7 linked regions of the Sus scrofa genome follow. The protein of the gene in region 2 interacts with the protein of the main gene of each other region in a pairwise test. Links are inferred from orthologs where the notes say so. Each region holds a gene or a part of one and is shown on either strand. Other genes may lie near its edges.

Region 1 (3,500 bases), on a different chromosome or scaffold from region 2:
TATTCTGAGCAGCTGCCACAGGGGAGGGTCTGAAGGACGTGGCCAGAGGACCATGGTATGGTGGTGGTTTCCAGCCCAGTGACCAACAGGTGCCCCTCCTTCTCTTGCAGCCCCTTCAATGACCGGCCAATGTGCAGGATCTGCCATGAGGGCAGCAGCCAAGAGGACTTGCTCTCTCCATGTGAATGTACAGGGACCTTGGGGACAATCCATCGGAGCTGCCTGGAGCACTGGCTGTCGTCCTCAAACACCAGTTACTGTGAACTCTGCCACTTCAGGTTTGCAGTCGAGCGCAAACCCAGGCCGTTAGTGGAGGTCAGTAATTGGGGCACGTCTTGAGAACTTAACTCTAATGAGCAAATGATGTCTGCTTTTATGCCCACATCACAAACCCTGTGCAGCTTCACTGAAGCACAGTAATAACTGTGACACACACACATACACACGCACACAGCCCACATTCAGGAGTCAGCACTAGAAAGGTGACCTCCATGAGCTGGAGACAAAATAGTAGAAGAAACCAGTGTGAGGAGAAAGGGGACATTTAGAGACTTGATCTCCATTTTCCATTCCTGGGACATGGAGCAAACAGATCAGATGTTTTCTCTTTGCACATCATCTGCTCACCTTGAAGCAACAGATAAATGGGCATTTGGGTTGCTTATTCTGAGAAGTCGTTGCAAAAACATATAACTGCATGATAGAATGGATATAGACCTAGACTTCTGGGTTTGAATAGTTCTACGAACTTGGGTAAGTGATTTCACCTCTTAAAATTACCATGAGGGTTAGATGAGTTAATATTTATAAAACACTTATAATACCAGGTTATACATGCAAGTGTTTGAGTAAAAGTCTCATCTAGGAAATTGCACACAAGGCTTTTTTCAGCTAATAACCTAGTACTGCAATCTCTTAAGAGTGATGCTGTCGGAGTTCCCGTCGTGGCGCAGTGGTTAACGAATCTGACTAGGAACCATGAGGTTGCAGGTTCGGTCCCTGCCCTTGCTCAGTGGGTTAACGATCCGGCGTTGCCGTGAGCTGTGGTGTAGGTTGCAGACGCGGCTCGGATCCCGCGTTGCTGTGGCTCTGGCGTAGGCCGGTGGCTACAGCTCCGATTCAACCCCTAGCCTGGGAACCTCCATATGCCGCGGGAGCGGCCCAAGAAATAGCAACAACAACAACAACAACAAAAAGACAAAAGACAAAAACAAAACAAAACAAAACAAAAAAAAAACAAAACAAAAAAAAAAACAAAAAAAAGAGTGATGCTGTCAATGCAGCCATTAAAATGGCAGGACAGGAGTTCCCATTGTGGCACAGCAGAAACGAATCCGACTGGTATCCATGAGGATGCAGGTTTGATCCCTGGCCTCGCTCAGTGGGTTAAGGATCCAGCATTGTTGTGAGCTGTGGTGTAGATGCGACCCTAAAAAGAAAAAGACAAAGGCAGGACATTCCCTTTCCTGTTTTAAGGGCTACGTGATTCTTCTTTAGACCCAGGGTCTAGTCTTGTATGGCTGGGGGAATTGGAAACAACTATTAGATTATGTTTCTCTTCTCTCCTATACCCAACTTCTAGTCCATCAAAAGGGAATCTCCATAGGGCAGGTGTGGCCCTAAAAAGCAAAAAATCCAAAAAAAAAAATCATTCACACGCAATTATGCTACCAAAGCCAAAAATCATGAGAAGACGAGGGTACAAATGCAGGTTACTGGAAGTGTGTTCGAAATTAAGAGATCAGCAACTGTAAAAATTTAGTGTATATATATATATAGAGAGAGAGAGAGAGAGACTCCTATATCTAAACTTCATGGTTACTGCAAACCGAAAATTTACAATAGATACACAAATAAGAAAAAAGAAAAAAAGAAAAAAATGAGATATTGGCAACAGTAAATATTCTAATATACCGTGAACCTAAGCTAGTTGAAAGGGACCAAGACATTGGCCTAAAATCCAGTAGGGCCGATAACCTCCTCCTTATTTCAGCAGCTGACCCAGTGGAACTTGGGCCTTAAACTAGAGCTTGCAACCAAGACCTTCTTGGAGGCTACTTAAAATGCTGTGTTAGCGCCTCGGCGCTAAGGCTCCAGAGAGCTTTGCTTATACATTCTCTTCGTTTTGACCTTGAACCTTTAAACATCAGGACCTATAACTGAGGCCTGTTTTTAGCTAAGACCTGCTTGCCAAATGGCACACAATTGATTTGACTTGCCCCAATAAATTCTGTGCATTTTTTTTAAGACTCTGGACCAAGTGACGTCTTAATTTAGGCATCTTGCTGCTTGCCATCGACTTTCAGAGTCTCAGGTTGGTAGGGTGCCACGAGGGATCTGGCCCCATGCCATGTGCACTGGGATTTATACTTCAGAACTTCTCTACAGAGGGAGAAGTATAATTAAACAATAAACGAAGGAGGTGAAGATTTCCAAGCCCAATGGCAGAAGTTAAAAAGAAACCTATTTCTCCTTTCCAGAAACTTTTTGGAAGCTCCCCAAGTTGATACTGCAGCTTCCTCCAGGAAAGCTGGCTTCCCAGAACAAGGAAACCCCGCTTTGGATGGGCTGCATGTAGCAGTCTCTTTTACTGGTATCTCCCTAGTAAAAAAAAAAAAAAGACTTCTAATCTTGCTTGGTAAAAACCCCAACGTGTGTGTGCTTAATAGATAACAAAGGAGGGTGTGTGTGTGTGTGTATGCATGTCAGACTAACATGCATGTGTCAAATCACGCAGTCTCAGGAGGGACTCATACCCCCACACACAGGTTTCTTCGGAGCTGCTGATGTTGGGCTGGAGGCAGACCCCAGGATCTTAGGCAACTGTCATTAAGCAGGAAAACAAGGCGAATGACCTTGAGAATGTGTGACGGGCTCTGCAAGATCGAGGGCCTCGCCTACAAAAACTTCACCCAAGCGGTCACTGGTGGTGAAATTTTCATTGCACAAATGGAATGTGACGTTTTTCAGAGTTAATGATGATTGAACAAGTTGAAAGTGAAAGGCAGACCTTCTCCAGCCGGGGAGGCTGGCCGTTTGATCATCCCGTGGCGAAATGAACTTGCCGTTCGACCACAAGCAATAAAAGGAAGTTGTCTTTGGTTTCTCAGCTGGAGGACAAATGAGAACCAGGTGCAGGCAGATTTTTAGACAAATGACATTACTAATTGACTTTTCTCCGCTTCCCCAAGGGTGGGTTTATTCAGAATGAGCGTTGCTTCTCGATATGTTTCCCTCGAGATGAACAGGAATCTTTTTAGTAAATCAGCAAAACCTGCCTGTTTGGGTTAAGCATTAGGAGTTGTGTTACTTTATTTCTCATTTCCACTCTTTTAATTGCTTTAATCATTACTTTATTTACCAGTTGGATCTGCCTTCTCATTAGAGCAAGAAAATTCCATAACATTTCATTTCAAAATCGATGTGCTAATAACAACTCCCATTGCAAGAGGAAGCGGTTGAAAAAGTCATTTATAAATTTTATTTGTCAGCATCCAGAC
Region 2 (3,500 bases):
CGCGTCTTCCTTATTACACCTAATAATCTGACAGCAAGAAAGGAAACCATTTCAAGATTTAGTTTCAACAGGAGGATATTTATCTGTTAACACTATAAACCACTAGAGAGTCACAGATAAGAAAAAGAACGGCCTTCAAAAGCAGCTGCCTTACCTGATTCGCTACTACTGCATCTTGTGGATCATCTGGTTCTGCAGCTGCCAGTAGTGCTTGCAATGACAATAATACTGTGCGCAGAGTCATTGCTGCTGCCCTAAATTCAAAATAGGAAGATATTCCAGTTAACAAGAGTATGGATGATAAAAACAAAGACATTTTCTAAATAAAACATGAAAACTACTGAAGCTAAAAAAAATAGTCTTAGAAATTTATAATTATATACCATTTTTTTTTCTTTACAATGAATGAGTCTACTTCTTAAGACAAGGCAAACTGCCCTTAATTGGCTTAGTTTTTTCTTATTGTTGACAACCTACTTTTGGTCAGCCTTTATCGACTGACTTATCCATTTCTATAGACATAACTTTAAAATACAGTGATAAACTACATGTGAAACTTCCTTTCTGTCACACTCTAAAAACAAGACACATCAAACAAATCTCCTTTACTTTCAAGAAAGCCTAAAATCACTTAAAGGGCATACACTAAGTGAAATAAGTCAGACAAAGAAAGACAAATGCAGAGTCTACAACGAACTACTGAATATAACAAAAAAAAGCAGCAGACCCAAAGAGAACAACAAACTAGTTGTTACTAGCAGGGAGAGAGAAGGGAGGAGGGGCAATATAGGAGTGGGGATTTAAGATGTAACTACCGTATAAAATAAGCTATAAGGATGTATTGTACAACATGGGGAATATAGTCAATATTTTCTAATCACTATAATGGAATATAACTTTTAAAACATGTGAATCACTATACTGTACAACTGTAACTTAAATAATACCATACTGGAGTTCCTGTTGGTGGCTCAGCTGTGGCAACTCGACTAGTATCCAAGAGGATGCAAATTCGATCCTTGGCTTTGGTCAGTGGGTTAATGATCAGGCATTGCTGTGAGCTGTGGTGTAGGTCAAAGAGGCAGCTCAGATCTTGTGTTGCTGTGGTATAGGCCGGCAGATGCAATTCTGATTTGACTCCTAACCTGGGAACCTCCATATGCCGCAGGTGTGCCCCCTCCTCCAAAAAAGGTACAGCAACTAAACTCCAATAAAAAATCTTTATTTAAAAGAAAGCCTAAGAGTTCCCATTGTGGTTCAGGGGGTTAAGAACCCAAGATAGTTTCCATGAGGATGTGGGTTTACTCCCTGGCCTCGCTCAGTGGATTAAGGACCCAACGTTTCTGCAAACTACAGCATGGATTGCAGACACAGCTCAAATCTGGCATTGCTGTGGTTGCAATTTAGGCCTGCAGCTGCAGATCCACTTCGACCCCTAGCCTGGGAACTTCCATATGCTGCAGGTTTTGCTGTAAAATGAAAAATAAAATAATGTTTAAAAATAAAAAACGAAGAGTTCCCGTCGTGGCGCAGTGGAAACGAATCTAACTAGGAATCGCGGAGTTGCGGATTTGATCCCTGGCCATGCTCAGTGGGTTAAGGATCCAGCGTTGCCGTGAGCTATGGTGTAGGTCAAAGACGCAGCTCAGATCCCGAGTTGCTGTGGCTGTGGCGTAGGCCGGCGGCAACAGCTCCGATTAGACCCCTAGCCTGGGAACCTCCATATGCTGCAGGTGCAACCCTGAAAACAAAAAAGAAAGCCTAAAATCATTCTATAAATGGTCTAAAAGGAGAAAGTTTTTTCCTTAATGTATAAATTAATTCATTAAATACTGAAACAGCAGAATAGTGAAATTTATTTGTCTTACTCACACGCCTGTGTATGCGCGCATGTCTTTTTAGGGCCAGACCCAAGGCATACTGAAGTTCCCAGGCTAGGGGTCGAATTGGAGCTCTAGGTGCTAGGCCACACCACAGCTACAGCCACACAGGATCCAAGCCTTGTCTTCGACCTGCACCACAGCTCACAGCAACACTGGATTCTTTGACCCACTAAGTGAGGCCAGGTATTGAACCTTCGACCTCATGGATACTAGTAGGGTTCATTACAGCTGAGCCACAATGGGAACTCCAATAGTGAAACATTTTATTTAATTTTTCTTTTTTTTGGTCTTTTGTCGTTTAGAGCATACCCTCAGCATATGGAGGTTAGCAGGCTAGGGGTCAATTTGGAGCTGTAGCCACCAGCCTACACCACAGCCACAGCAATACCGGATTCTTAACCCACTGAGCAAGGCCAGGGATCAAACCTGTGTCCTCTTGGATCCTAACCAGATTCGTTTTTGCTGAGCCACGACGGGAACACCTAGTAGTGAAACATTTTAAACACTGAGGATTATTATACTACATGTCCATTTTACCACACAAATTAGATACCTCCCAAGCAGTCTTTTTCAACTGGGTTCCTCATTTTAACCACTGAACAAAGAAAATTACTGAATATTTTCTCAATTTCTCCAAGGAAATTGTACCATCCTAGATGCTTAGAAAAAAAGTTAATTTATTACCAACAATGAATGTTTTAAAGAAATGTATCTCACAAAGTGTGGTTTCCTCAACCAGAAACATCATCACCTGGGAACTTGTAAGAAATGAAAATTCTTGGCCTCGTCCTTTATCTACTAAATCAGAAACTCTAGAGTGGTTTAAGAGTTACTCCAAGTGATTATGATGCAAACTAATGTTTGCATAATACTGCTTTAGTGCATTATAGCTTAAGCTAATTGAAAAAGGCTGTTCTGGAGTTACCGTCGTGGCTCAGTGCTTAATGAATCCGATTAGGAACCATGAGGTTGCGGGTTCGATCTCTGGCCTTGCTCAGTGGGTTAAGGATCTGGTGTTGTCGTGAGCTGTGGTGTAGATTGCAGACGCGGCTCCGATCCCGAGTTGCTGTGGCTCTGGCATAGACCAGCAGCTACAGCGCCTATTACCCTAGCCTGGGAACCTCCATATGCAGAGGGAGTGGCCCTAGAAAAGGCAAAAAGACAAAAAAGAAAAGAAAAGAAAAAGGCTGTTCTAAGCCAATAAAATAAAATCGATATCACAAACACAGGTCTATATTTTACCTATTAGAAAAAAAATTATACTAGAAATGGCTCTTTATCTAAAATACTATCAGAATTGTCATCTATACTAAATTCCACAAAATGCATACTAATCTACAAGAGGAGACCAGTACTTACTGAGAAATGGCGGAGTAGCAAGTGTAGCAAGGAGTACTTACAAAAGGACACTAGGAGACCTTTTGGTATGTTGGTTATGTTTGCTATTTTGATTGTATGATGGTTTCATGGATGTGTATATACATCCAAACTCATCAAATTGTTCAATATGTGATGTTTACAATCAATTACACCTCAACAAAGCATTTTAAAAAGTTGTGTTCTAAGAGTTCCCTGGTGGCCTAGAGGTTTAATGATCTGGCATTGTCAATCCTGTGG
Region 3 (3,500 bases), on a different chromosome or scaffold from region 2:
GCCTACGCCAGAGCCATGGCAACACGGGATCCGAGCCACGTCTGCGACCTACACCACAGCTCACGGCAATGCCGTAGAGAATGCAGGTTTGATCTCCGGCCTGGATCAGTGGGTTAAGGATCCGGTATTGCCGTGAGCTGTGATATAGACTGAAGACGAAGCTCAGATCTGGCGTTGCTATGGCTGTGGTATAGATGCAGCTCTAAAAAGACAAAAAAAAAAAAAAAAAAAAAAACCAAACCCAGAGCTATAGAGCAGTGTATACTATGAGCCATGAATGTTCATAACTTGACTTTCTCATCTCTATTTATGGTCATTTATCCTAGGAAAATAATCCCCACAAAAGTAAATAATATAGGTAATGTAATTTATAGTAACAAAATATTCACATACAAAGAAGACTTAAGTATTCCAGAAGTCCAAGAGGTAGGTAACTAATGAAGTAAATTATTGTACATTTAACTGTAATATTAGCTAATAAATATGAAGCAAATTGCCATACTCTTTTTTTTGGCTGCATCCACAGCATGTGGAAGTTCCCAGGCTAGGATCAAACCTGTGCCAGAGTTGCCACCTGTGCCACAGCTGCAGCAACACCAGATTCTTAACCCATTATGCCACACAGGAACTTCCTAAATAGCCATACTCTTATATGAGAAATACAGATGAAGAAATAAATGTAGTTTTATTTATTTATGTTGTGTTAATATTTATGCAATTCTGAAACATAATGCTGGAGTTCCCTAGTGACCTGGTAGCTTAAGGGTCTGGTGTTGTCAATGCTGTGGCTCAGTTCATTGCTGTCGTGCAGGTTTGATCCCTGGCCCAGGAACTTCCCACATGCCTTGGGTGTGGACAAAATTTTTAAAATTTAAAAATAAAACATAGGAGTTCCCGTCGTGGTGCAGTGGTTAACGAATCCGACTAGGAACCATGAGGTTGCGGGTTCGGTCCCTGCCCTTGCTCAGTGGGTTGACAATCCGGCGTAGCCGTGAGCTGTGGTGTAGGTTGCAGACGCGGCTGGGATCCTGCATTGCTGTGGCTCTGGCATGGGCCGGTGGCTGCAGTTCTGATTAGACCCCTAGCCTGGGAACCTCCATATGCCGAGGGATCGGCCCAAGAAATAGCAAAAAGACAAAAAAATAAATAAATAAATAAAACATAATGCCAAATATGGCTAGTAGCTGCATAAAATTAAAATTCATCTTGTTAAAGTTATTTAATTTTTTAATTCTGATATTAATGATTATTTAAAATTCTTTCTTGAACTCTGATCTTGTTTATTTCCAGTTCTGTCCACTTTGCCGTTTAATACCTAATGAGAATCCAGGCAGCTTCACTGGCAGCTTAATAAGACATTTGCAAGTCAATCACACTTTGTTTTATGATGATTTCATAGTAAGTATATTTTCTTACTTTTTCATTATGTTTTTATGCTATATGTTAAATAAGCTTACCTTTCTTAATCCAAGTGAATAAGATTATAGAGGAAAAAATTACATGTAGCTGTGAAATGTTAAATATTATAGTTAAGTAGGAAATCATAAAGCACAGTATTTTTATAAATTGACTGTTAATACTGAAGTAGTTACTTGCCTTGGACAAAATCATTTTCTTTGTGATATTAGCCATTGTAAAGCCATTGTACAGCCATTGTATAAAGTCCCAGATTTCGCTTTCAAATTATTTTAATTTCTACTCTAGTGCCTCCCTATATATAGTTATAATTTTTATGAGGTTAAAAACCTACATAGCTGAGGGGAAACCATATCACTAATGAAATGGCTCAGAGAATTTGCATTCATTTTATAATACATTGAATGGCTAATAACAGATACGACACTATCAGTGTAGTGAGACACATGGGCTATATAGTTTTTTTGTTTGTTTTTTTTTTCCTTTTCCCTTTTTAGGGCCTCATCTGCAGCATATGGAAGTTCCCAGGCTAGGAATCAAATCAGAGCTTGCAGCTGCCAGCCACATCTACAACTTAGACTGCAACTCACAGCAACGCCGGATCTTTAACCCACTGATTGGGGGCAGGGATTAAACCCATGTCCTCATGGATCCTAGTCAGGTTTGTAATTGTTGAGCCACAATGAGAACTCCTTTTTTTTTTTTTTTTCCATTTCTTTTCTTTTTAGGGCCACACTTGCAGCATATGGAAGTTCCCAGGCGAGGGGTCAAATCAGAGCTGCAGCTGCCGCGTCTGTGACCTACACCTCAGCTCATGGCAACACCAAATCCTTTACCCACTGAGCAAGGACAGGAATGGAACCCGAATCCTCATGGATGCTAGTCAGGTTCTTAGCCTGCTGAACCACAGTAGGAACTCCCTACGTCTCTCCGTCAAGTCTTTTCTGGCCACTAAGGCACACAAGCCTCCAACAGAGCCTCCTTCTTCTGGTCCACATGTTCTCATTTTTACAACACATAGGGGTACCTCTTTATCTTAGCTCCATAAGACATTCTAAAAGCCAGGTTGATTCCATACCTGTTCTGGCTATTCATGTGCAGTCCCTTCTCAAGATCTTACAGAGTATGATTCCGGACTGGTCAGGATGAAGCCACTTTGATGAGAAGTCTTTCCACCCACTCAAAACCATGTTCTTGGATGAGGAAGTCAATTTGAAACAGTGTTCTTTGTTTTGATTTCTTGTTTCTTAATCTAGGAAGTACTCTGCTAGGCACTTTATTCAGATTATCTCATTTTATTCCTTGCAGCAACTTCCGTAAATTGAGTACTATTTTATTATCCTCACTTAGTTATGAAATATCTGACTCTCAAAGGTTAATAAATTGCTTCAGAACAACCTGGTGTTGAGTCCAGATCTTGTGCTCTGCTGTGCTTTATGGCTTTCCTTTGGGGGTTATTTATTTGCTTTTATGTTTTAGAGTGGACTTCCAATAAAGATTTTATTTTATTTTTTCGTTTATTGGCAAAGAGGAAATAAGTTGCAGGGGATGGGGCTCTTGATTGTTTTTGTTTTCCTTATAGAATGTGCTGACATGAAGTTTTCAATTCTGTTTCGATCTAAGGAGGCAATGAGAAAGAGAGTTTTGTTTTCAACTTTTTTTTTTTTTTTTTTTCAGAACTGGATATTCAGTATTGCTGGGATTGGTAAATTCTGTCAGAATGTCCTAGCTTTATTCCATATTACAGGCTTATGTGGAGGCTAGCACTCTGACCAGGGTTTGTGATGTTAACTAAAAACTAAGAGATCATATTTTTTAAAAACTTAAAGGAATTCCCTTTATGGCTCAGTGGGTTCGATCCCTAGCCTCGCTCAGTGGGTTAAGGATCCGGCATTGCCGTGAGCTGTGGTGTAGGTTGCAGACGCTCTCGGATCTGGCGTTGCTGTGGCTGTGGTGTAGGCTGGCAGCAACAGCTCTGATTAGACCTCTAGTCTGGGAACTTCCATATGCCACAGGTGTGACCCTAAAAAAAGCGGTGGGGGGGGGGGGAGGGAGAGAGAGAGGAAAAAAAACTTTTAAGTTCC
Region 4 (4,133 bases), on a different chromosome or scaffold from region 2:
GAGGTCTCAAATAGGTCTCTAATTAGTCGAGGTAAACTGGTAAAAAGCGAAGAGGATGTTTAAAGATTTGAAATATAAAACCTAAACCCTACAGCACATACTACTTAATACTATTATGTATGAATACTTTTTCCAGTATAGCCCCATCTAATGATGTCACCACCACCAATGACCATATCAGTCATTTATGAACAGTCATTTTTCAATATAGCAGTGGGAAGGAAGGAAGGAAGGAAAGAATTAAGGGAGGGAGAAAAAGAAAATTAAGGAAAAAAGAAAAAAAGGGAGGAAGAAAGAAAGGGAAAGAAGAAAAGAGGAAAGGCAGGTAGGGAAGCAAGCAAACAAGCAGGCAAAAAAAAAAAAAAAAGGAAAGAAAAAGAAAAAAGAAGGAAAGGAAGAAAGAAAATACATACAACAGACTGTACACGGCCTGCAAAGCATAAAATAGGGCAGTCCTAGCTGCACACAGTACTGCTTTAAGTGAAATTCTACAAAGCAAGAACTGCCTATATTAACTACCCAGCCCTTTACAAAAAATGTGATGACCCTTGGGAATGAAGGATATCCAAATGGCAAAGAGGGATATGAAGAGGTATTAAAAATCATTATTCACTAGGGAAACTCCCAACATGATATCACTACCCACCAGAATGGCTAAAATGAAAAGGATGATGCTAAATGTCACAAGCTTTTGGAGAAGCCAGAATCCTCAAACACTGCTAACAGGAGTATTAATTGACATAACTACTTTGAACAACTTTGTTAGTATATACCTAGATATCTGTGCATCTGATAATACAGTCATTTCACCAGTAGGTATCCACATCCAACATCCAACAGAAGTGTACACAGATGCTCACCAAAATACTTACAAAATGTTCATAGCAGTCCTGCTGATAATAACCAAAAACTGGATGGAATACTGTACAGTATTAAGAACAAACTACTGTTACATACCTTGTATAAACCTCAGGAATATAATATTAACCAAGTGAGACACCAAGGACTGTATACTGCACAATTCCATTTATCTGAAGTCAATAAGTAATTCACTGATGATGTCAAAAATTGAGATAATGGGAGTTCCCGTCGTGGCGCAGTGGTTAACGAATCCGACTAGGAACCATGAGGTTGCGGGTTTGGTCCCTGCCCTTGCTCAGTGGGTTAACGATCCGGCGTTGCAGTGAGCTGTGGTGTAGGTTGCAGACGCGGCTCGGATCCCGCGTTGCTGTGGTTCTGGTGTAGGCCGGTGGCTACAGCTCCCATTGGACCCCTAGCCTGGGAACCTCCATATGCCGCGGGAGCGGCCCAAGAAATAGCAACAACAACAACAACAACAAAAAGACAAAAAAAAAAATTTTTTTTTGAGATAATGGCTACCTTTGGAAAAGGGACACAAATGGGGCTTCCACTATGCAAACAATGCTCTTTCTTGATCTAGCTACTGAACACTTGGAAAGGTACACTTTGTGAAAATTCATTGAGCTATATACTTATGATTTACCGACTCTGCTGTGTCTATTATCCTTTGAAAATTAGCATACTAAAAAGATTTCATATCTACAAACTCTATGCCTGTGAAGGAAAATTGTGTACATCTCCTGTTCATTTTTCTGATTTGCCATCATTACCTCTCACCCATGAGAAAGATATTTTAATTTCTGTTACCTTAAACAGAATTCATCTTTGTTTTAATGAATTTTCTTGGTATACTACTGCACAAGATTGCCAAATGTTTCTGCAACCATTATTTTAGTTTAGGTCCACACTAGATCCCAAGAAGAAACTTTGAAAAGCCAGTAACTTGTTAAAGTTACGGGAGGAACGGAAAAAAAAAAAAGTCTCCTTAAAATGCAGTTTTGCTTGGCCCTTTGTTTTGGCTTACCTTTTTCTACTACCGCTGTGATTTAAACTGCATAAAAACGTTCAAAGGAGCTTTTCAAAAAGCCTGCTCTTGTGGAAACTTTTTTCTTTCTACGACATCCTGTCTAATAATGCTATTATCTTGTGTTTATCCAGTTCCTTCCATCCATGGAGCTTAAAGTACTTCACAAATTCTGCTGGGTGGTGTTACCTTCCAATTAGAGAAATCTGGGCCCAGAGACTTTGTAAACCAAAAAAATTCTAACAGTATCTTTTTACAGCATGGCTAAAGAAGCACCACACTCTGCCAAAACTTAACAAGTGTGAGAACTAAAATACACAACGAAATGAGTGACTCTCAAGGGCACGGAGTCAATCAGAGGTTGAGCCTAGACCTGAACCCTCTAACTCACTGCCTCTTAAAGGAAAAGCAAACAAAACAAAAACCTACACTTCTGAATACATGCTCAGTTGCTGAGCTCTTGTAAGAGGAAACAGGGGAAGATGCCGAAATCATGCGCAAGAAGACCAGAGGACCACACCAAACTGACCTTCGAGCTAGCCCCATCACTCCCGGCCGCTCGGGGCCGACATTCAGAGGGGGCAGTTTCTGTGTGACCCCCTTCTTCTCCAAGGAGGCTGCGGCCGGAAATTCCAAAGGCTGGTCTAAACCCACCCCTCCTTTTCTCCTCCTTTTGTCGTCCAAACCTCCCAACCCACCGGTTTACCTGAGATGAGCCCCGCACCGCCCCGGGAGCGACTCAACGCGCTCGCCCAGAGTTTCTCAGGCCCGACGCGCAGCCACCACGTCAGCCAATCGTCTCTCTCTCGGAACCTCCCCGTCGGGGACTCCTCCGCGCTAGGAGGTGCGCGCGCCGGCGATCAACCCGGGAGAGTGCGACTGGGGAGGGAACTAGCCGCCAGCGGCGCGCGGGGGCCTACGGGGAACAGAGGCGGAGCGCGCGCGGGGCGGGGGCAGGCGGCTCGCACTAGGCATGCGCATGGCGCACCACAGGGGCCGGGGGGCGGGGCCTCTTGGCAGAGGCGGGAACTTCAAAAGTGCTGGCTGGAGTGGCGAAGAGAGAAGGCGATCTTCATAGCCTTCCTCTGCTGCTCCCAGGGCGCTAAGGCTGTCGGTTCTGAGACGACGGGTGCATTCTGTGAGAGCAAAATATTCTCTGGACAAAACCTAATCAGGATAGAGGGGGGAAACCGCGTCCTTAAAAACATGTCTTGTCGGAGTTCTCGTCCTGGCGCAGCGGAAATGAACCCGACTAGGAAACTTGAGGTTGGGGGTTCGATCCCTGGCCTCGCTTGGTGGGTTAAGGATCCGGCGTTGCCATGAGCTGTGGTGTAGATAGAAGACGCGGCTCGAATCCGGCGTTGCTGTGGCTCTGCTGTAGGCCCGCAGCTACGGCTCCGATTAAACCCCTAGTCTGGGAATTTCCATATGCTGCGGGTGCGGCCCTTGAAAAAACAAAAAGACAAAAAAAAAAAAAGTTTTGTGGCCTCAACTTGAGCGTTATCAAGTCTCCACAGGAGCTGGTGAAATTGTGGTTTTTCTGTTTTGTTTGTGTATGGTTTGGGTGAGGGGGAGAGTGGGGATGGGAACTCGGGAGAGAAGAGAGATGTGTTGGGAAATGGTTGAATGAAAAAGGCTGCAGATGGACTACACTTGGGTGAGCGAAAAGCAATGCCTAGCTCCTAGACCAAGAATGTTTCAAACTAAAACTTGGAAGAAGTTACCTTTTGACTTAGTTATGAAAAGAAATGGATACTTAACATTCAATATATTGATTCTTTAAGACAAAATGTTGAACCTTCCGGAATTAAAAAAAAAAAAAGTCCTTAACTTGTGTTGGAACGAGAAAGGACTATAGCTGATTCAAATGCATAATAATTCAGATGCGGTTTTCTTGTACTACAGATCAGTATTCTTTTATAAATATCACCTTAAGTCACCAACTTTTTTTTTTTTTTTTTTTTTTGTCTTTTTAGGGCTATATCCACAGCATATGGAAGTTCCCAGGCTAGGGGCTGAATCAGAGCTGCAGCTGTTGGCCACAGCCACAGCAACACCGGATCAAGCCACAGCTCACTGCAACACTGGATCCCCAACTAAGTGAGGCCAGGGATTGAACCCAAGTTCTCATGGATACTAGTTAGGTTCATTACCACTGAGCCACAACAGGAACTCCAAGTCACCAACTATTTACTGAACATATACTATGTGCCAGATACTCTTCTGGGTTTTGGATAATAAACAGTAA
Region 5 (2,319 bases), on a different chromosome or scaffold from region 2:
CTGAACCAGTTAAATCCTAAGGGTGTGCAGGAATGATAGGAAAATCTCACTCATCAAAACTTCCAGCATCAGACCATGTTCAACCCAGAACATCCACCCTAACAAGACCTGTGAAATGTTTCCCATGAGGTAACTCTAGCTCCTGGCAGCTGCCGCCAAGGACCAACCAACAGGAACCTGCACAGCACAGGAGGGGGCGCTCCATCACCCATCACCCCATTCTTGCTGGCGCTCACACCCCTTGGGGACAAGGGGAGGAGATGCTTGTTTCATTTGTGCTACTCATGACCCAGAAAAGGTCCTGGCTGGTTCGGAGGACCTGAGAGATCAACAGTGGACAGGAGAAGCAGGCATGAAACGAGGACAGGTGGAAAGCTGGGTTCCCTTCCAAAGAGGAGGCAAAAGCTCCAGGAAATGGCTGAGGAGCAGGAAAAAACCGGACAGATGACAAACAGTGAGCAGTAGGGGAAGAGCCCCAAGGAAAGGAGGGCTTGACTGGGGACCTGTTCCCCTGTCAGAAGTGACCCCGTCCCAACACCAAGGCTCACTTCCAGGTCTGTGGGACATTTTAGGTGGAAGAGTCACATGTTTCACGCGGACACACAGTGGAAGCTCTGGAGCCCGCGCCTGCTCACTGGTCAAGGAGGGAGCGTTGCAGCACTTGGTTCATCATGTCCTCTTCGTCAACGTCGTAATCCTACGGGCAAAGCAGAGGCTCAGCCTCAGGGACCGCCTGCAGCTGTGAGGACTTTTAGTCAGGGAGCAGAGCCTCCGAGGGGTGGGCTTGGGAGAGGCCACTGTTTTCGACGCAAGCTGCGTGACTCTGGGCACACAGCTTGCTCTGTGCCCCTGCTGCCTCACCCTGGTGGTGAACATGAGGGCTCCCTCAGACGGGATGGTGAGACCCAGAGAACACCTGAAGGAGGCCTGGCACAAACCAGCTGCTCAGATGGAGCACCCTGCAGTGAAACCAGACGTTTTGGTGCAATGAGGCAAAGTTATGTATATGGGCTCTACTGGGGAACTGATTTCATCTTTCTCTTTTTATTTTTCGGCTACACCTGTGGCATGTGGAAGTTCTTGGGCCAGGGATCGAATCCACACCACAGCAGCAGGCTAGGCTGCTACAGTGACACTGCCAGATCCTCAACCCACTGTGCCACAAGGAAACTCCCAATAAAAGGTTTACTTTGAACAGCTGGCCAGGTTTCTGCCACTAGAATGCCAGGACAACAATGTGTCCTTCAAAACAGCTCAGCTCCAGAGAAAGGATGTAAACTTGATGACACATTTGGCTAGTTGATGCATTTAGCTTGACCTGAAGTACTTAAAAAAATAAACATGGGGAGTTCCTGCTGTGGTGCAGTGGGTTAAAAATCCAGCATTGTCTCTGCGGCAGCTCGGGTCCCTCTTGAGGTGCAGGTTCAATCCCTGGCCTGGCATAGTGGGTTAAGGATTCCGTGTTGTAGCAGCTGTGGAACTGGTCGCAGTTGCAGCTTGGATTCAATCCCTGGCCTGAGAACTTCCATACAGATGCGGAAAAAAAGGGGGAGAGGTGATGCTTCCTATGGAATTCTGCATTTCCAGCTTACTGAGGTTAGGGCCGGGGAGAAGCCTGGCAATACCGTGCCTTCATTTCCCAACCATGACTATCAGCTGGAGATGATGGCAGCATAACCCGAGTCATGCACCACCCAGCCTGCGATTCCTTACGAAAATCACTTGCCACAGACACCTGAACTTAAGGATCTCAAACCAGGTTCTGTAACAGGTAGAAACCATACACTGAAAGAAAGTGGATAAAGGTTTTCATAAAGATAAAAAATAAAAGCAAGCTTTACTTTGCCTCAGTCTAGATGACTGGCCAGTTCATCTTCTTAAATACCACACAGCTGACATTTCAGGGAGCCCATCACGTTAGTGACAAAACTCCCCAAGGGGACTCATAGTTCTCCAGGTTAGAGAAGGGAGGTAGCTGTTCTGTCCCCCAGGGGAAGGAATTAGAGCCCAGGCTCCAGACTTACCACGAAAGTGTCGTAGGAAAACTGGTGCCGACGCTGGATGTGTTCTATGAAGTTGGCGCTCCGGTAGTTGGGGTCTCCCCACGGCATCGAGGCACATATTGGACAAACCTTTCAAAAAAGAAGCATGGTCTTAGGTACTCCATGACTGAGCTGCCATTAGCCCTCTGTGACCTGTATCTGGCCGCCTTTCTCCCAGGACAGCTGTCCTGACCAGAGCCTGGTCACATCTTCAAGGTCACATTCACATCCCAGAAGACATGGTCAGTCTCCTGCTGGAGTCCAGTGACATGTAGGA
Region 6 (3,500 bases), on a different chromosome or scaffold from region 2:
AGAAGGGTATTGGAATTTTCAACAACTAATTTGAAAAATCAGTCATTGAAAAATCAGTCTTCTTAACTAGCTTAGTTTATTTATAAATTTAAATATTAAAATATTCCCCATACATTATGAAAAGAATATAATTGAACTTTTTTTTTTGGTCCTTTTAGGGCCGCACTGGTGGCATATGGACGTTCCCAGGCTAGGGGTCAAATCGTAGCTATAGCTGCCAGTCTACACCAGAGCCGTAGGAATGCCAGATCCTTTAACCCACTGAGCAAGTCCAGGGATCGAACCCGCGTCCTCATGGATGCTAGTCAGGTTCGTTAACCACTGAGCCCTGACAGGAACTCCTAACTGAACTTTTTAAATTTCTTTTAAAAATTCAGGACATGATTTTCTAATTTAGGGCAGCATATTTTATTGGTCTTATTCTTCCTGCCTGTTTTTTTAAGGTGTTATAGGAAAACCACTACACTTGTTCATTTATATATTGTCTGTAGCTTCTTTCACACTGCAGAAACTAAGTTGAGTAGTTGCCACAGAGGCCATGTGGCCTATAGAGCAAATAATTTTGCCCTTACAGAGTATTTGCAGAACTCTTGATCTAATTAATGATCTGGCACTTGTGTAACTTCTTTCTTTAGTTACATAATTTAAGGTTATATCTGGAATCTCTGGATGTTGCTGCCATTCTAATATTAGACCCTTATTAGACCCAACTTTCTATATAAAGTTGCCAGTTTAACATTCATATTTTTCTGGTATCTAGAAAATTACTTGTTCTAAATCATTTAGATTAAACTTGCAAAATCTGTAAATGTGTTCAAAACTAATAGAAAGTAAGAATGAGACGATAAAAATGAATCCCTGGAACTTTTTTCTTTTTTTTTTTTTAATGCCATTTGCTCAGAACGTTATGACCATTTGCATTTGTAAGTTTGACAAATTTTAGACTAGGAAGAGAAAGTATAATAATCTGGGTTGATGAATAAAGAGTGTAAATGGAACTAATATTATCAGTTTCCCAGATGTGTTGACATGTATTTGCATGTGTTTGAAAAAATGCATAAAGTTAAAAATTTTTTCTTAAAAGCTTTATGTATTAAAATGGGTGAATATTATAATAATTTCTTTGTGCCTACAGCATTTGGAGTGTTACTTTATAAAATTTTATTTCTGTTCATAGTTTGTTATTCTATTTAAAATATCTGCCATAAAAACAAACAAAAAAAATTTTTTTTAATCTCCCATAAAGAAGATATGCAAGATAATGTTAAAACTCCCTTTTGCTTTGGATGGTATGTGAATTGGAGGCATTGTAATTAATGAGCAGTGAGAATTTGTGGGATTATGGTTTCTTGATTTATTAATCATTAAATTATATTACATTTTTATAATTTATTGTTACCAAAATAAGTTCATGACTAATGTGTAGATGTTATAATATTAATACTAGATTGTTTTTTCTACATTAAGAAATAACCAATTATTCAATTATTTCCAGTGGTCTTTTTGTGTTCTGTGTTTCCAGGCGGGCACATGAGCGCCCCCCACCCCATCCACATAGGATGCACCCAAACTATGGTCATGGGCATCATATTCATGTGCCTCAGACTATGTCCTCACATCCTCGACAGGCTCCAGAGAGATCTGCCTGGTCAGTATCTTGTGTATTTCAAAGTTGTGCTTAAGCTTCTTGCTGTAAAAAACCTTTGAAAGACATAATTTGTAGTGGAATGCCATACAGAAGGGTAATACGGAGAAACTGAATTCCAGCTTAGCTGTTGTGCTATCTCTGGACAAGTCGTAGAGACCTAGGGATGAAAGAGTTGCAGCTTGAGTTCTGGGGCAGGAAACCTATGTCAGACAGGAGTAGAGCTTTTTGGTTTTTTTCAGGGATCTGCTATCAAAGTTCACTCCCTAGATGGATCCTACCTTTCACAACTTCTTTTATCCACCACCTCCACTTTTGTACTCACAAAGGTGTAGTACCACCCTTAATTCCTGCTAGTGACAAGGGAAATCCAGCCTTCATCCTCCTAGGCTGGTGTTCTTTCCTAGACTAATGGAAGCGGATTTGGATTAAAATTTTCTTTCTGGATCTCTTGTCTGTAGAAGTCATTGAGATCTTGAGTCACAGTGACTTTTGAGGCAAAGTCGTAAAATGAGAATAAATAAATGAAGATCTGGCATTTACCAATTTTACTCTTTCTAAAGTTTTGTTTGCCCTTGCTTTGTAAAGTATAGAAGTGTTTACTCTTCTAATTATCCTTGATACCAACAACCCAGAGGCACTATCCAACAAGCAAAAGCCCTGGGAGCAACATTCATATAAATCAAAAAAGTAAACTCTATTCTGTGTGCTTAAGTAGAATCAGACTTAGATTGGAAAGAACCTTAGGGGCCATTCACTGTATTTCCTTCCTTTGTAAGATGTGAAATTGAGTACAGTGCTTTTCATTTGTACCATGCTCCTCATGATCACAAAATTGAATTTTTGAATTTTAATTTCTGAAGTGAACTTGAAATTATTAGTTATATCCTTTGGGCTAAATTATGTTTTTTCTCAGCTAAGTTAGTTAAGAAACTTCAGATTACTTTTAGAAATGTAAACATACTCCCCCATTCCTGTGGATAATAAGGACATTGTAAGGATGTCTAAAATTTGATCTGTTCTCATCCTTTGTCAGGGAACTGGGAATTGAAGCTGGAGTGACTGCAGCTACTTACACACCTGGAGCATTGCACCCTCACTTGGCCCATTACCATGCACCCCCTCGACTACATCACTTACAATTAGGAGCTCTTCCTTTAATGGTAAAATAGGAAAATTTCAAAATTTGGGTAGAGTTTCCTTTGAAAACTATTCTTCCTTTTCTTAAATATTTTATTGGAAATAGTTTAATAGAAATTGAGAATTATTAGATGGAAATGTGCTGTGAGAATGTGTTACTTATATTAAAATATATGTTTAGGAGTTCCCATCGTGGCGAGGGGAAACGAATCCGACTGGGAATCCTGAGGTTGCAGGTTCGATCCCTGGCCTTGCTCAGTGGGTTAAGGATCTGGCGTTGCCGTGAGCTGTTGTGTAGGTTGCAGATGAGGCTCGGATCTGGCGTGGCTGTGGCTGTGGCGTAGACCGGTGGCTACAGCTCCGATTAGACCCTCAGCCTGGGAACCTCCATGTGCCACAGGTGTGGCCCTCAAAAAAAAAAAAAAAAAAAGTGTTTGTATTTGCATTGTAAAAAAGATAATTTTTTTTCATTTACACCGAGATAATAACCTTGATACACTCTTCACTAGCATGTGTGCTTTGTGTTATAAGTAGTAGTGGGTCTGTTCTGATGCATGCATACTTTTCTGATAGCAGAAGGAGTGTACTGATTGATACTCTATATACAATTTGAGCAGGTTCAGATTTTGTTGATTCCAATTTGAGTTCTAAAGAACAAGTTCAGCAAAAATGAAGTTTGCTCTTCATAATACAGAGTATGTGGTACAGAGAAGTG
Region 7 (3,500 bases), on a different chromosome or scaffold from region 2:
GGTAGCATCATTATTTCAATTGTACATAGAAATGAGCCAAATGAATTTATGTTGTCAACTCTTTAGCTGCTTGCTTACTGTACTTGAATATTCATGTACAAAATATTTGGCAGAAGACTTTGCTTACTTTTCTCTCTGGTGACAAAATCAAGTATTGGCAATAACTGACATTAATTCTCCAATCTGGATTTTATTTTATTTTATTTTTTTACTGATTTTATTTTATTTTTTTTTGTCTTTTGTCCTTTTTTTTAGGGCTGCACCCATGGCATATAGAGGTTCCCAGGCCAGGAGTCTAATTGGAGCTGTAGCCACCAGCCTACACCACAGCCACAACAACGCCAGATCCAAGCCCCGTCCTCGACCTACACTACAGCTCACAGCAACTCGGGATCCTTAACCCACTGAGCAAGGCCACGGATTGAACCCGAATCCTCATGGTTCCTAGTAAGATTTGTTTATGTTGCACCACGATGGGAACTCCCCAATCTAGATTTTATTCTGTCATTTGGAAAGGGAGTGAAATGGTGAGGGATGGTTAGGCTTGGAGTATATCCATTAATTTATGGATTTATCACAACTACTTTTTCAAAGAGCTAATAAAGTCAGTGGGCAAAACCATTTGCTGTTTCATGCAGTCACAAAAGACATAATCTGCTTGTCCATCTCTTGGAGGGATTTGTTAACTGACAGGGCAGTGAAATGAAACTGGAAAATGCAGTTGAGAGATTCTGACTCAACTCCTCAGAGAGAAACTAAAAAATGTCCCAAGAGTTACTTGGGTACTCAGTTTTTTGTTTTTTTTTTTTTTGCTATTTAAGGCCACATCTTCTGCATATGGAAGTTCCCAAGTTAGGGGTTGAATCGGAGCTGCAGCTGCTGGCCTGTAGTGCCAGATCCTTAACCCACAGAGTGAGGCCAGGAGTCAAACCACATCCTCATGGATACTAGTCGAGTTTGTTACCGTTGAGCCACAACAGGAACTTCAGGAACTTAGTTTTTTTAAGCACTTTCTACCTGCCAGGTTGCAATAGTTAAAGAGTAAAAATCGGAGTTCCTGTTGTGGCTCAGTGGTTAACGAGTCCGACTAGGATCCATGAGGTTGCAGGTTCGATCCCTGGCCTTGCTCAGTGGGTTAAGGATCCGGCGTTGCCGTGAGCTGTGGTGTAGGTCGTAGACATGGCTCGGATCTGGCATTGCTGTGGCTCTGGTGTAGGCCGGCAGCTACAGCTCCAAATGGACCCCTAACCTGGGAACCTCCATATGTCGAGGGAGCGACCCAAGCAATGGCAAAAAGACCAAAACAAAACAAAACAAAATTCTAAAAAAAAGATGCCCAGTGCCATGCAGCAACCTCTTAATACTTGTAATTTTATTTTTTGTCTATTATTAGCATTTTTAAAGTATAAAATTTTTATTTATCTTTTTTTCTTTTTGTCTTTTCCAGGGCCGCACCTGAGGCATATGGAGGTTCCCAGCCTAGGGGTTGAATTGGAGTTGTAGCCACCGGCCTACGCCAGAGCCACAGCAACGTGGGATCCGAGCAGCGTTTTCGACCTACACCACAGCTCACGGCAATGCCGGATCCTTAACCCACGGAGCAAGGCTAGGGATCGAACCTGCATGCAACATCATGGTTCCTAGTCAGATTCACTAACCACTGAAACATGACGGGAACTCCTAACATTGCTAATTTTTGAGGTGAGTTTATGAACGGTTAGACTCGCCTCTATTGTCTCTGTGTTTAATGGACTGAAACTTACTGCTTATTTTCAATTCCTACTTAAGACTTAAATTATCTACTTAAAAAAAACTTGTTTAAATGGAATATTTAATTGTCTATTTTGTGTTTTTATTTATTTTTTTATTTTTTAGGGCAGCACTCGCGGGATATGGAGGTTCCCAGGCTAGGGGTCGAATTGGAAGTGTAGCTGCCAGCCCACACCACAGCCACAGCAATGCCAGATTGAGCTGCCTCTGTGACCTACACCTCAGCTCACGGAAATGCTGGATCCTTAACCCACTGGACAAGGCCAGGAATCGAACCCATGTCCTCATGGATGCTAGTTGGGTTCGTTAACTGCTGAGCCATGACGGGAACGCCTCGTTGTATATTTTTATCTTTTTTTTTGACAATATCTTGAGTCTCAGGAGGAATTCCATTTTAAATTAAAAGTCACATTACATTTTTTGAAGTTCCTATTGTGGCTCAGCGGGTTAAGAAGCCAACATGGTGTCCATGAGGATGCGGGTCTGTCCCTGGCCTCGATCAGTGGGTTAAGGATCTGGCGTTACTACGAGCCATGGTGTAGGTCTCAGATCTGGTGTTGCTCTGTGCTGTGGTATAGGATGTCAGCTGCAGCTCTGATTCAGCCTGAGAACTTTCATATGCAGCAGATGCTGCCCTAAATAGAAAATTAAAATAAAGTCACATAATATTTTAAAATTAAAAAAAATTTTATTATGATAAAATATACATAATGCAAAATGTACCTTTTTAACCATTGTAGGCGTGCAGTACAGTGGCATTAAGTACATTCACAGCATTGTATAACAGTCACCACTCTCTGTCCAGAATTTCTTTATCATCCCAAACAGAAGCTCTGTATGCATTAAACCGTAACTTCCCATTTCTCGTCCCCTCTAGTAACCTATGTTTTACTTTGTCTCTGTGAATTTCCCTATTCTATGTACCATTGTATAAATGGAATGATGTAATGTTTATTCTTTTGAAAGTCACATTGTATTTTAATCAATAATTTACAGATTAAATTCTATCGTATGAGACATCATTACAAATCTTGTAAGAAGTATCAAGATGAATACGGTGTTTCCTCTATCATTCCAAACTTTCAGATCTCTCAAGATTCAGTAGGGAACAGGTAAGCCATATTTATTCTTAAAAAGAGAATTTTTATGGTTAAAATGGAAATTTAGGGGATCTATATGATAAGGTGTTTTTTGTTTTGTTTACATCTATGTTAAAGTAAATTGCCTTTGTATTCATAAGTTTGACACATATAATTCCATATGGAAGATTGAATTTATAATAGACTTAGGATCATGTTGTATAAAAATCATTCTGAGAAAATTTACATGTCTAGGGAGTTCTGTCGTGGCACAGTGGAAACCAATCCGACTAGGAACCATGAAGTTGCGGGTTTAATCCCTGGCCTCGCTCAGTGAGTTAAGGATCTTACGTTGCTGTGGTTGTGGTATAGGCCGGCAGCTGTAGCTCCAACTCCAATTAAACCCCTTGCCTGGGAACCTCCATAAGCTGCGGGTGCCCCCAAAAAGACAAAAAAAAAAAGAAAATTTACATGTCTAAATAAAAAGATTTGTGAGTTGAAGGCATTTTCTTTTGCAACTGTAATTACTTGAAAACTAGAGAAAATCCCTTTTAGTAATATATTTGCAAATTTGAATCTTTTTAGACTCTTTAAGAAATAATGTTTTTGAAATTGTCTTGATAGAATGTTATGTAAAAGTGAGACTTGGTA

The links.
Region 1: the proteins of UBE2K (region 2) and MARCH3 interact in binary tests that used the Homo sapiens proteins (3 or more experiments, as listed by UniProt). The link is inferred for Sus scrofa from reciprocal best matches to the Homo sapiens genes UBE2K and MARCHF3.
Region 3: the proteins of UBE2K (region 2) and RNF125 interact in a two-hybrid assay, tested with the Homo sapiens proteins (2 studies listed by BioGRID and IntAct). The link is inferred for Sus scrofa from reciprocal best matches to the Homo sapiens genes UBE2K and RNF125.
Region 4: the proteins of UBE2K (region 2) and MIPOL1 interact in binary tests that used the Homo sapiens proteins (3 or more experiments, as listed by UniProt). The two-hybrid records come from large-scale screens. The link is inferred for Sus scrofa from reciprocal best matches to the Homo sapiens genes UBE2K and MIPOL1.
Region 5: the proteins of UBE2K (region 2) and RNF114 interact in binary tests that used the Homo sapiens proteins (3 or more experiments, as listed by UniProt). The link is inferred for Sus scrofa from reciprocal best matches to the Homo sapiens genes UBE2K and RNF114.
Region 6: the proteins of UBE2K (region 2) and RNF111 interact in binary tests that used the Homo sapiens proteins (3 or more experiments, as listed by UniProt). The link is inferred for Sus scrofa from reciprocal best matches to the Homo sapiens genes UBE2K and RNF111.
Region 7: the proteins of UBE2K (region 2) and RNF138 interact in binary tests that used the Homo sapiens proteins (3 or more experiments, as listed by UniProt). The link is inferred for Sus scrofa from reciprocal best matches to the Homo sapiens genes UBE2K and RNF138.

Annotation. Positions count from the first base shown.
Region 1 is NC_010444.4:129,911,381-129,914,880, reverse strand, and holds part of MARCH3 (E3 ubiquitin-protein ligase MARCH3), read left to right. Parts: intron 1-110; coding exon 111-315; intron 316-3,500. UniProt on the Homo sapiens protein: E3 ubiquitin-protein ligase which may be involved in endosomal trafficking. E3 ubiquitin ligases accept ubiquitin from an E2 ubiquitin-conjugating enzyme in the form of a thioester and then directly transfer the ubiquitin to targeted substrates.
Region 2 is NC_010450.4:30,950,494-30,953,993, reverse strand, and holds part of UBE2K (ubiquitin-conjugating enzyme E2 K), read right to left. Parts: intron 255-3,500; coding exon 155-254; intron 1-154. UniProt on the Homo sapiens protein: Accepts ubiquitin from the E1 complex and catalyzes its covalent attachment to other proteins. In vitro, in the presence or in the absence of BRCA1-BARD1 E3 ubiquitin-protein ligase complex, catalyzes the synthesis of 'Lys-48'-linked polyubiquitin chains.
Region 3 is NC_010448.4:115,895,697-115,899,196, forward strand, and holds part of RNF125 (E3 ubiquitin-protein ligase RNF125), read left to right. Parts: intron 1-1,290; coding exon 1,291-1,398; intron 1,399-2,529; coding exon of another isoform or gene 2,530-2,565; exon of another isoform or gene 2,566-3,039; intron 3,040-3,093; coding exon of another isoform or gene 3,094-3,180; exon of another isoform or gene 3,181-3,312; intron 3,313-3,500. UniProt on the Homo sapiens protein: E3 ubiquitin-protein ligase that mediates ubiquitination and subsequent proteasomal degradation of target proteins, such as RIGI, MAVS/IPS1, IFIH1/MDA5, JAK1 and p53/TP53.
Region 4 is NC_010449.5:62,793,235-62,797,367, forward strand, and holds the start of MIPOL1 (mirror-image polydactyly gene 1 protein), read right to left. Parts: upstream 2,801-4,133; 5' UTR 2,592-2,800; exon of another isoform or gene 2,415-2,591; intron 1-2,414.
Region 5 is NC_010459.5:51,525,965-51,528,283, reverse strand, and holds the end of RNF114 (E3 ubiquitin-protein ligase RNF114), read right to left. Parts: intron 2,133-2,319; coding exon 2,025-2,132; intron 698-2,024; coding exon 632-697; 3' UTR 501-631; downstream 1-500. UniProt on the Homo sapiens protein: E3 ubiquitin-protein ligase that promotes the ubiquitination of various substrates. In turn, participates in the regulation of many biological processes including cell cycle, apoptosis, osteoclastogenesis as well as innate or adaptive immunity.
Region 6 is NC_010443.5:112,972,601-112,976,100, reverse strand, and holds part of RNF111 (E3 ubiquitin-protein ligase Arkadia), read left to right. Parts: intron 1-1,495; coding exon 1,496-1,648; intron 1,649-2,681; coding exon 2,682-2,808; intron 2,809-3,500. UniProt on the Homo sapiens protein: E3 ubiquitin-protein ligase. Required for mesoderm patterning during embryonic development. Acts as an enhancer of the transcriptional responses of the SMAD2/SMAD3 effectors, which are activated downstream of BMP.
Region 7 is NC_010448.4:115,954,521-115,958,020, forward strand, and holds part of RNF138 (E3 ubiquitin-protein ligase RNF138), read left to right. Parts: intron 1-2,766; coding exon 2,767-2,882; intron 2,883-3,500. UniProt on the Homo sapiens protein: E3 ubiquitin-protein ligase involved in DNA damage response by promoting DNA resection and homologous recombination.